3 linked regions of the Oryctolagus cuniculus genome follow. The protein of the gene in region 2 purifies or fractionates together with the protein of the main gene of each other region. This does not show direct contact. Links are inferred from orthologs where the notes say so. Each region holds a gene or a part of one and is shown on either strand. Other genes may lie near its edges.

Region 1 (4,117 bases), on a different chromosome or scaffold from region 2:
GTCCAGCTCTCTGCTGTGGCCCGGGAGGGCAGTGGAGGATGGCCCAAGTCCTTGGGCCCTGCACCCGCATGGGAGACCAAGGAGGAAGCACCTGGCTCCTGGCTTCGGATCAGTGCAGTGCTGCAGAGCCACCCGAGGTGACTTCAAGAGACATCACTGTCCCGATGGTGACTCAAGTACTTGAGTACCTCCCACACATGGGAGACTCCTGGCTTCAGCCCTGGGTGCTTTGGGTATTTGCAGGGTGAACGATTAGATGGAAGACCTCTGTTTCTATGTTTCTGTGCCTTTCAAATAAATTAAAATAAGTAAATAACTATTTTAAAGAGATACCACAAATAGCAAACAGCTGCAGGAGCTGTCACATCTAGTTGTCAGGATCCTTTATCCAGGTGTCAAAGTAGGGTTACTCTTCATACCTTGTGCAGCCTGAGCAACTGTGTGTGTGACTTTTAACCACTAGGATAGTGGCTCCAGCCCTCATGAAGGGAAATTCTCTATTCAACCCCAATGCAAAGCATTTGGAAGCAGCAACATCCAGCTGCCTCAGGGTGGGGGGTGTTCCTCCCCAGGAGGGGGGAATGTGTGCTCAGAGTGGGCAGGATCACCAGAGCGCCCCCTAACTCTGGTGGTAAATCTTTGGTGCATATGCATGCATGCATGGGATGGGGAGACTGGTACTGTGGCGTAGCAGGTAAAGCCACCGCCTGCAATGCCGTCATCCCATATGGGTGCCAGTTCAAGTCCCGTCTGCTCCACTTCTGATCCAGCTCTCTGCTATGGCCTGGGAAAACAGTGGAAGATGGCTCAAGTCCTTGGGCCCCTGCACCCCGTGGGAGACCTGGAGGAAGCACCTGGCTCCTGGTTTCAGATTGGTGAAGCTCCGGCTGTTGCAGCCAATTGGGGAGTGAACCAGCAGATGAAAGAACTCTCTCTCTGCCTTTCCTCTCTCTGTGTAACTCTGAATTTAAAATAAATAAATAAATAAATCTTTATTTAAAAAAGAGTCTTAATAAAAAATTCAAATAAACATGCAGTTCATTCTGTCCAGTGTAGTCTTTCCAAGCAGTTCAACCAACCTAATAACAGTGTCTCACGGCAACATGCTAGAATCTTGGGGGTGAATGGAAAGGATTGTGATGCATGGGAAAATCCAAGTTGCAGTGGTGCCTGATACAGGGGAAAATCAGTTTGCCGCTTCAGAAAGGCGGAAGGAGCATATAAATTGCTTAAAACAGACAAAGGGAGGCATAATGGACTTGGAGAAATGAAGTTGAAAGGATTAGCCGCTGCTCCTGAATAGATGTCAGAGTCCAGCGTGGTTCCACTACGATGACTTCTCAGCGGTCATTCCCTGCGGACGACTTCGGTATCTACTATGTCCTGTGAGCCTCTGTCTCCTACAGCTTTCCACCTGAGCTCCAGGGTGGGGGTGGGGGGGAGAGTCTCATCAAAGAAATCGGGGTACATGCCGCATTTGGGAAGGTTCCCCCAGATTTGGCCCACAGAGGTCGAGGTCCTCCCAAAGGAAGGGACTAGATTTAATATCTAGGCAGTAGACCCATGTCTTTTTTTAAAATTAATTTATTTATTTGAAAGAGTTACAGAGAGAGAGAGAGACAGAGAGAGATGTCTTCCATCCACTGTTTCACTCCCCAAATGGCCACAATGGGCAAGGCTGGGCCAATCGAAGCCAGGAGCCAGGAGCTTCCTCCAGTTCTCCTATGTGGGTGCAGGGGCCCAAAGCCTTGGGCCATCCTCTGCTGCTTTCCCAGGTGCATTAGCAGGGAGCTGGACTGGAAGTGGAGCAGACTGGACTCGAGCCAGTGCCTTATGGGATTCCAACACTGCAGGCAGTGGAGTTACCCTCTACACCACAGTGCCAGCCCCCTCCTCGTCCTTCTTAAAGCAAGACAGGGCTTCCCATGACGTTGTAAGGAAACATGAAAATGACCATGTGTCCAGTGAGCACTTTTCAAACTGACATAGCTAAGTAGAGGTACTGTGAGGAAGCTGTCTCACAGAGCTCAAACTGTAGAGGCAGTGCTTGGAAAGAAGAATCATAAAGGGCAAAGATGGTGGGCTGGCAACAAACCAGGAAAGGAAGCCGTGGATGGGGAGGGGATTCTTCCTCGCTACCGCCCAGTGTGGGCCCAGCGGATTTACCTGAGCACTAACTCCACAGTTTCCTGCCAAAGATAGCCTTGATCACTCACGTTAACATTTTCTAACAGTTTCTCAATATGTATATGTGTATATATATGTAATTGTTCCTACGCTGTAAAATTATTAAAAGAATTTAATGAAAAAATGTATACAGTTCCAGGTTCAAAACATGATAGCTATTGCTATTGACTGTTATCTATTGTTACTATTATTATCAAAAATTATTTATGTTTGCAGCATAAAGGTAATACTTCGGTATTCAGCAAGAAAGTCTGCAATTTTAGTCAAGCAAATCTAAGACTAAGACTTTGAAAGGTTGATATTTTCAGTTCTCTTGCTTTGGTTTTAGGAAGAAACGTTTCTCTGTTATATATGGATGGCTTCGCACACTTGTTCTGAGTTCTGGACTAAATAATGCCACTTGAGCCTTCAAGTGCACATGCTTAAGTCCTTAGTAGGAGTGTGTTTGAGGGAGACTCTTAGCAAGAACTCTTCTTGGTTTCATGAGGTTGAGAGGAAATTATTGTCATTTGTATATATTTTGTTCCCCAAAATGCTTGCTTGCTTTCCACGTGGCACCAACACAGTGCAGAGTGCACAGATCATTATGATACCCTTCCAGTTAACGAGGCTGAAAAGAACCAGCCCCACTTCCAGGGGGTCACTGGCCTGCGGAACTTGGGCAACACGTGCTACATGAACGCCATCTTGCAGTGTCTCGGCAGCATCTCGCCGCTGGTGGAGTACTTCCTCTCCGGAAAGTACATTACTGCTCTCCAAAAGTAAGACCATCCGCGGGCCCTGCAGCCCACCCCCGCCCACAGGGTCCCCTCCCTCCCCAGGCGGAAGCTCCCCCCATGAGTGACACATCGAGGGTGAATAAAGCAGGAAGGGTAGTTGGGAAATGATTGAAGCCCTGTTTTTGGACTGATTCTCCAGGCTTGAGTGACAGGGGTCTTCTTTTCATTCAACCAGCCAGAAACCTGCCCGTTTTTTCCTCTCAAGGGACTGCAGTGATGTGGCCACTGCCTTCGCTTACCTGATGACAGACATGTGGCTTGGAGACTCAGACTGTGTCTCACCGGAAATATTTCGGTCGGCTCTTGGCAACCTCTACCCAGCATTCATGAAAAAGACACAACAAGATGCTCAGGAATTCTTGATTTATGTCCTAAATGAACTTCATGAAGCTCTGAAAAAGGTGAGTAGAATAAGTGACCTTGAAACAGGACGCACCTGCAGCTTCAGCAGAAACTCCCATTTTTCTGTCTTCAATTCCTTCAGTCAAAATGGCCTACTCTGTGCCAAGCACCGTGCTAGCAGCTGAGGGGTACTTGTGTTTGAATGTTGAACTGCATTTACCGTATGTACTGATCATCAAGAGCCCCTGGGAAGATTAGAGTCGGAGGTGCTTACTCCAGTGTTAATGAGTAAGACTGGAAGAGTCTCACAGGGCATATCTGGTGATCAGCCAGGGCCAGCAACCACGAATCCGGTTCCCTTTGCGCGTAAAAACTGCATGGACCCAGTTTTCAAAGTAGAAATTGTTAAATAAAAGTATGTTTTGAATGAGAAATACCATAATGAATTTTATAATTTAATTTTCTTGGTACCTACAAACCCATGAAAATATTGACCTTGGTATAAAATTAGGGGCCAGACTAGGCCCTGCCAAGTTTCTCTTCACACCAACTCACCTAACCTCCAGCATGTGTTGGATTTAGGACATGTATTTGATTAAACATGAAATCACCAGTTATTCTAGGGGTTTTGCCTTCATTTAGAGAACTCACTACCTGTAGCCTTGGTCTATGACCCACACTCTGGGAAGATATGTCCTTGACTTTATGCAATGTTCTTGTGTGAATGTTACCTCACTGCACACGTAACGCCCCCAAAAAATAACACGAAGATCACAAACTATAGCCATGTATACTTCTCACTGGCAAGT
Region 2 (3,477 bases):
CTCTGCCATAGGTGTGCTGTGTGCCCCTCTATGTCCCGTGAATTCCCTAGACTTTGCCACATGGACATTAATCAGCCTCCAGGTTCTACAGTGCTGTCCCCTTTGCAGTCACTTGCGAAGCCCTGGTGCCATCTTGGGCGTCTCCTTGTACAGTCCCACAGCCCACCCCTAGCCACCTCTTTAGGTCTCCAGCTCAAGCCACAGTTCCCTGTTTTACTTTTTAAAGATTTATTAATTTTATTTGAAAGGCAGAGTTATAGAGAGAGAAGGAGAGACAGAGAAAGAGGTCTTCCATGATGGCCCAAGTCCTTGGGCCCCTGCACCCATGTGGGAGACATGGAAGGGGCTCCTGGCTCCTAGCTTCAGATCGGCACAGCTCTGGCCCTTGTGGCCAATTGGGGAGTGAACCATCAGATGGAAGACCTCTCTCTCTCTCTCTGCCTCTCCTCTCTCTGTGTAACGTTGGCTTTCAAATAAATAAATCTGAAAAAAAAAAAAAAAGAGAGAGAGAAAAGGTCTTCCATCTGCTGGTTCACTCCCCAAATGGCTGTGGCCTCCAGAGCTGGGCCAGATCGAAGCCAGGAGCCAGGATCTTCTTCCTGGTCTGCTACGTGGGTGCAGGAGTTGAACCGGTGCCCATATGGGATGCCAGCACTGCAGACGAGGCTTTATCCTCTGCCACAGCACAGGCCCTCACCATTCCCTCTTAGTACGGCTGCCCTGGGCTGCTGCTGTGCCACCGTCTGTGTTGTTCTCACTTTGGCCAACAGAGGACGCAGCTGAGATGAGAGCCAGACCCCACCACTCCCACCCCTCTTCCCAGTTTCTTCCTGTCACAAGCTCATGGCTGCCTTGGTGGCCCTGCGACTCCTAAAGAGTCTAGCGCTGGTGTGTCCTGCACGTCACTCTGGTCTCTTGCTGATTCAGACCCACGCAGGCTTTGGGACTCTGCAGCCACTGCCTCTGCTTGGAGCACTCTCCTTGTAGGCCTGTGCTTTCTGTCCCCAGGTCTGCTCCCCCAGGCACCTCAAATGTGCTGCTGGACACAGGAAGCAACCCCTTTATCATTGCCTCACTCCACCCCTCAGCGTAGACACCACCTCACCTGCTGCCCTCCCCTCCCCTCCCCTCAGCATAGACACCACCTCACCTGCTACCCTCCCCTCCACTCACTCCACCCCTCAGCGTAGACACCACCTCACCTGCCATGTTATATTTTTGTTGTTTCATTACCTATCTCTTCCCCCCAAATGCAAATTTCATGAGTCTTGGGACTCTGGTGTCTGTCTTAGCTCAAAGGTGCATAGATGCAAGTGTGGCTCTGCGCTGCTCTCTTGTGCAGACGCAGCAGGGTGCGTTTCCTGCAGTAAAGGCAACATTCCCAGAGCAAGAGAAGGAGGGACCCAGGGAAGCCTGGTCAGGACAAAGCTAGGGACTCTGCTGTGGGTGAGGTCACTGGCCCAGTCCAAGGGATACTTGGGTCCCAACCTGGGGCACAGGCTTAGCGTAGATGATGCCCCAGCTGGGCTCTGCTTGCCCTGCCATAAGAAAACACTGCGGCGCTGTGCACTGGTGGCTTAGACACAGATGGTTATCTTCTCACACACCCCATTGAGCCAAAAAGCCCAGAATTCAGGTTCTGGGGAATTCAGTGTCTGGCAAATGTGTTCATGAGCTGCACACACACACACACACACACACACACACATGAGTGGGTCAGAGACAGAGGGACAGAGACAGACACACAGAGCCGGAGTCAGAGCAGAGACGCAGAGCAGCAGAGGCAGAAGGAGCCGTCTAGTGTCTCAGGAGGACTCCTCTGACTCTGGGGGTCTCCAGACCCTGGCCGGCCGTTCACACACGTCTGGAGGAAACACTGGATTGTGAGCAAATCAGGGCCGATGGAAGCGACACAGGACAAAGATCTGGCTCCTGGGGTCTGAAGCCCTGGGTCCGAGGAGGCCTGGAGGGCCCGGGCTGCCACAGCACAGCCGACATGTAGCTGTGAGGAGATGCTCAGAGGCGGTCATTGACAGGGAGGCTGCAGGCACCGAGTGCATGGGCACTGTCTGCGGCGGCTCCGGCCGGGTCAGCTGCCACCACTTGGCCTTGCCACTGTGTTGGTAGACGTGCGGGGTGCAGGTCCCGTTCTTCCCAACACAGAGGTTACCAACTCGACAGGGCCGCGTGGACATGCCGCGCTCAGAGCGCCATACCCGCCGAGCCGCCTCTGAGTACCTGTCTGCCCCGCAGGTTGTGTGAGATGTACTTCAACCCTGAGACGATCCACGCCTTGGAAACACTGCGGGAAGAGAAACCTGCATTGACTGTCGTTTTCGAGCCTTCGTGGTAGCAACGGAGCTGCCCCCCTCCCCGCCCACCTGTGCCCAGGTGCGCCCATGTGGGAGGAACCCTCCTGCATCCAGTGTCAAGACCACAGCTCCGCTGTCCCCCAGGTCCAGCTGGAGAGCCAGGGCTTGTGGTGGAGCCCTCACGTGGGGAACCCTGTGCCTCCTGCGCCCCTGGCAGAGATTCTGGGCACAGCCCCTATGGTTAGCCTGCCTTTCCCGATTTCCGCTGGCTTTTGTCACTCACACTCCCACTGTCTGTCAGTGGACTGACCACCGACCACTGCATAAAGCTACGCCCTGCATGCTGTCTTGTAATTGTGTGTCCACTATGTATTTATTTTTAATGTTTTGTAACAGTTATATTTTCTAATAAAGATTCACGCCTATTGTAGCTTGCTGAAAATTCAGAAATATAAAACAACCTTTTTGTATTTATTGTGTTAAATTGTTTCCTGTACTTAATTTTTAAAAACAAGTACCTTGAAATTTTAAAAATTACTTATCTGAACTAATAAAGATGAATTAATTGCTCTATGAATGTAAAAGGTCTTTTTGTTCAGGGCATGCATCGCTGTGCCATGGGTTAATCTGCCACTTGGGACTCCTGCATCCTGTATCATAGTGCCTGGGATCAAGGCTGCTCCACTTCCCATGCAGCTTCCTGCACCTGGGAAGGCAGTGGAAGATGGCCCAAGTGCTTGGATCACTGCATCCATGTAGGAGACCTGGATGGAGTTCCGGGCTTCAGGCATGGATCCAGCTCAGGACCTGCTGTTGCGGACATTTGGGGAGTGAACCAGGGATGCATGATCTCTCTTTCTCTCTGTGTTTCTCCTGCCTCTCTATCACTCTCCTTTCAAACAAACTTAAAGACAGCTCTTTGTGAAATGATTCCATGTGGTAGTAGTGGGGGAGTGTCACCTAGCTCAGCTGGGACGGGGGTGGAACTCCTGCAGGGGACGTTCGTGGCTTCGTTTTTCTGGAGGAGGTGGCCAGTCCTGACCCTTGCCAGTCCTGACCCTTGGCCAGTTTCAGTTTCAGCACCTTGGGTGCTGGATGGGTGATGTTGGCTAAGTTGTCACAACCTAAGAACCAATTCTAAGAGGAAAAAGAGGAACCATGGCAA
Region 3 (4,361 bases), on a different chromosome or scaffold from region 2:
TGTAAATCTGACTTTCAAATAAATAAATAAGAGCTGGCAAAGAAATACCTGGCCAAGGAAAGTGAGCCCTGATAAATGTAGAGTCCGGGGGAGGGGAGGGAGGCCAGCATAAAACTGTGTAAGAGGAAGAGGAGAAGCCCAGGGAAGAGACTACCTGTAAGACAGAGAAGACAGGGGCACCAGAGAGGAACATTTGCCAGTAAGGGAAAAAATATATCTTGTGGCAGAAACAGCCAAAGAATTTTTCAGAATGCTAATGTGTGATGCTACACTGTAAACTATGAGCTCTGCAGCCATGTCCGTTGGTGAGACCCATCCTTGGCCCCAGCACTCAGCCTCCTCTCTGCCTGGATCTCCAGGGTGCAGTCAGTCAATCTGCCACACACACAACTACTGTGCAAGAAACAACTTAGAGAAACCAAAGAAAAGATGCTGTGCTCCATCTGATGATGCATTCTCCGAAAAGTGGGACATGAGCAGAGCAGGAACTCAAGATCTGAGACTCAGCAGAGACCTCGGGAGCTGCTAGCAAAGCCACAAGGTCTTGGTGGAAACCCCTGAATTCTCCCCAGTGGCGAGGAGGAAACAATTAGCTGACAATACTGCTACTTGCTCTCACTTGTGTGTGGAGCGTAAAACAGCTGAACTCATAGAAGCAGAGAGTAGAATGGTGGTTACCAGTGGCTAGGGAGGGAAATGGGTTAGGGAGATGTTGGTCAAATGATACAAAATTTCACTTAAGAGAAATTGATTCAAGATTTCTATCATACATCATAGTGATTCTAGGTTTATCTGTATTCTTAAAAATTGCTAAGGGGTGGATTCTACATGTTCTTACCATCTTAGAAGTAAATGAGCAAGAAAACAATTGGCCTGAAATGCATTGAGGCTACTACTCATTCACCAGATTGAAAAAGCATCCTTAGGGCCAGCACCATGGTGCAGTGGGTTAAAGCCCTGACCTGCAGTGCTGGCATCCCATATGGGCACTGGTTGGAGTCCCAGCTGTTCCACTTCTGATCCAGCTCTCTGCTATAGCCTGGGAAAGCAGTCCTTGGGGGACCTGAAAGAAACTCCTGGCTCCTGGCTTCATCCTGTCCAGCCTCAGCTGTTGTGGCCATTTGGGGAGTGAACCAGCGAATAGAAGACCTCTCTCTCTCTCTGTGTCTCTCTCTGAACTTTGTCTTTCAAACAAAAAAATAAAAAAGAGACTTCTTAATATTTGAGTGCTACCTGAAACCTGCTTCTGAGCAGCACAGCATGACAGACTGGCACAGAAGTTTTGGTTGCAGACTTAGAAAGGGATGGGTCCACCCCCCAAGTGGAGTGTGTGTGAACGGCTGACTTACTGTAAGTACTTAGCTGGACACACCTGTTTCAATAAAAGGTTAAGACTGCTCAACTAGCCACTTCCTTGTAATAGAAAAGAATCAAAACAAGCCAGCAAGTGCAGAGAGTGAGACACAGCCCAGAGGGAGGAGACTTCAGAGGTAATTGTGCTGCCCTTTCGGGATGTGAGAGTAAGACCTACCTTGAAGTTTGTGGCTTGACTGTCCCATTCCAAGGCCTTGAGACAGGACCTAACAATGCATTCCAACATCATACTATGAAAACACGTTGAATCATTTGTGGAGAGAGCAAAGTAAGTTTATTTTGGTGCAAAAATCTTTTTGAAATTCATGCGGTTTTTTTTTCATGATATTCACTTTCTTTGAACTTTGTGAAGTACCTGCATATTTTATGAATTTGTAAAAGTGATATTTTAATTCCAGTTAGGATTGCTGTCTCTATTTCAGTTTTCTCTACCACAGTATCCTTCTATCAGTGACATTTGGGGGATCGAGTTGAAGGGAAATTGAGTTGGGCTTACACTGTTTGGGTTTACTAAGTTATGTGGTTCAAAAGCACTTCCATATATAATCAAGTTATTGCTGTCTGTCTCAGTGTAGCAATGTCTTCTGGGAACACTGCTACCACCAAGACAACTCATTTGACATGAGACTGAAGTGCAAGGTTGGAGGACCTCCAGAATAAGAACATGTCCCATCATATGAGCTGCCAGAAGTATGTAGACAGTGAAGACAAGCTATCCTTTCAATCCTTAGATGCATAAAATTTAAGTCTAGGGTTCAGTCTCATCAATATCTAGTCAAAGTAGAAGTGCTTTTCTTCAGGAATATATTTGACAATACAACATATACAATTATACATATATCAAAAAATTAAATATTTACATGTTTCAACATGAATTCAGTAGAAGTTATCCTGATTTCAGACAGAGAATTAAAAGAATACAAACTTTTTAGTTTCAAGCAAAGGCGTTAATTTTTGGAGGGAAAAAAATGATTTTAATTATAAAAATAGATGCTTAGTTTTTTTCTAATCAATTGGTGAAGAATGAATTTTATAAAACATTGAAATTTTGAAATATTTCTGGTTAACTTGATATAAAATATTGATATCTACAAACATATTTTCATAGTGCATCTTTACAACAAGGTAGATGACCTTCAGTAATGTATTTAAGGTGAGTCACTGCTGTGAAAATTTGAAATGCCCTGAAATCTAAGGGGCACTTAAGAAGCTTTTAACACTAGCCAGTGCTATGGCAGAGAGCGTAAAGCCACCGCCTGCAGTGCTGGCATCCCTTACATTCATCAGTTCAAGTCCTTGCTGCTCCACTTCCAATTCGGCTCTCTGCTATGGCCTGGGAAAGTAGTAGAAGATGGCCCAAGTCGTTGGGCTCCTGCACCCCAATGGGAGATCCAAAAGACGCTCCTGGCTCCTGGCTTCTGGCTTCAGATAGTGTTGTGCCCAGATCATTAGATCCCCGCAGAGACCCCCAGAGAGTCGATCACACCGAACTGCAAGAGCAAGGTTTATTCGGGAGTACAAGCCACGACAGGGACCCCATCCAAGCAACTGGCACAGCGGAGGAAGGAGTGAGGCCCCGGTCTTTGTTTGGGAGAGTTTTTAAAGGAAAAAAGGGATACATCAGCAGGAAAAGAGTTACATACAGCACAGAAGCTTTGGGTTCAGGGAGTTACAGCCGGGGCTGACAGCACAGGAGCTCTGGGCGCAGGAAGTTACTTTGTTCAGCAATCTCTACTGTGCTGTCCTTGATCTACTGAGCTAGCTGTCCCTGGTAAGCTTTGATATCTCTGGGATGCCTGAATGCCTGCTTTCACAAGGACCTGGGTCTGCTATGGGAAACGGAGGCTGCTTTTTTTATTGTTTTAAAATGGAGTCACTTTGGCTCTTCATTCCCCTATTGATTTTGTGCATGTTTGAAGAACCCAATCATGGGTTTTGGACAGACATTTTATAGGTTTTACAAACATTGAAGGGTTTATATTGGGACCGTTGGACCATTAATTGAATGGTGCCCAATCTCTGTTTCATAAACTGTATAAGTTTGTTAACAATGGAAGGGCTGAAGGTTAAAATTAAAATCAGGAGAACAAGGGGCCCTATGAGTCCTGATAGTAGGGGGCTTGCCACGGAGAAGAATTGAACCAAGACTCAAACCACCCCTGAGAGGCCTCCTGTTCTCTTGTTTTGCCAGCCCTCCCTGACCTTAGCCAGTCATGTTATCTTTTATTAGGCCCGAGTGATGGGCATAAAAGCAGCATTCTTTCCCAGAGTGGTGCACAGCCCACCACATTGGTCCCAGAAATCCAAGAGGTGCAGAGGGATGACGATCCGTCTTCAGAGTCACCCCTGCTGTCGTGGAGCAATGAGGCACTCTTCACTGCCATGGGGCGATGTCTTAAGCCACTGTCTCCTGGGTGGGGAGCCGAGACATTCCTGTAGTAGCATTTGGTTGACCGCCTGGTTGCCGAAGGCCTTGGTTCACTCCATCACCAGCTGTAAACACTTAAACAGACACTGTAGTATAGAGACAGGGTGAGGATAAGGCAGATTCCAGCCAAAACTGGGAGAAAAGCCACTCATTAGTGTGGGAGAGGATTATCAGTACACACATGTTGGGAGTATAAGTGGCAATCCACTACAGAGAACAAAGAATTTACAGAAATTTTTACTGTTTAATTTCTGCTCTACTTTTATACACAGAATAATGACTAGTTATTTGTAGCATGTCTTTAACTTTTTAACTTTGTGCATTTACTTTTCCTCAACAAGGCAGAGCTGCTGTTGCTATTTGTAACTGAGACAGCAGTTGATACTTAATAGGAAACACTGCTCACAGAACTGTATTCCCTACTAGCCAAATTTACCTAATAATGAATTATTTTGATAATGGAGAGCAGATACCATATGCACTAATTATACAAATGTTAAAGTCACAGTTTTAAACAAGGTAATTTACATTTTGAAGTACACTACTTATGGTAATACTG

What was found.
Region 1: the proteins of NLRP3 (region 2) and USP50 purify together in Homo sapiens (affinity purification with western blotting; 3 studies listed by BioGRID). This does not show direct contact. The link is inferred for Oryctolagus cuniculus from reciprocal best matches to the Homo sapiens genes NLRP3 and USP50.
Region 3: the proteins of NLRP3 (region 2) and TRIM31 purify together in Homo sapiens (affinity purification with western blotting; 3 studies listed by BioGRID). This does not show direct contact. The link is inferred for Oryctolagus cuniculus from reciprocal best matches to the Homo sapiens genes NLRP3 and TRIM31.

The regions. Positions count from the first base shown.
Region 1 is NC_091443.1:73,317,697-73,321,813, reverse strand, and holds the start of USP50 (ubiquitin carboxyl-terminal hydrolase 50), read left to right. Parts: upstream 1-1,200; 5' UTR 1,201-1,332; coding exon 1,333-1,385; intron 1,386-2,753; coding exon 2,754-2,948; intron 2,949-3,141; coding exon 3,142-3,367; intron 3,368-4,117. UniProt on the Homo sapiens protein: Deubiquitinating enzyme that removes conjugated ubiquitin from specific proteins to regulate different cellular processes. Regulates the inflammasome signaling pathway by deubiquitinating 'Lys-63'-linked polyubiquitination of the PYCARD/ASC adapter protein.
Region 2 is NC_091437.1:1,765,030-1,768,506, forward strand, and holds the end of NLRP3 (NACHT, LRR and PYD domains-containing protein 3), read left to right. Parts: intron 1-2,253; coding exon 2,254-2,353; 3' UTR 2,354-2,885; downstream 2,886-3,477. UniProt on the Homo sapiens protein: Sensor component of the NLRP3 inflammasome, which mediates inflammasome activation in response to defects in membrane integrity, leading to secretion of inflammatory cytokines IL1B and IL18 and pyroptosis.
Region 3 is NC_091436.1:140,344,335-140,348,695, forward strand, and holds the start of TRIM31 (E3 ubiquitin-protein ligase TRIM31), read left to right. Parts: upstream 1-1,468; 5' UTR 1,469-1,642; intron 1,643-4,361.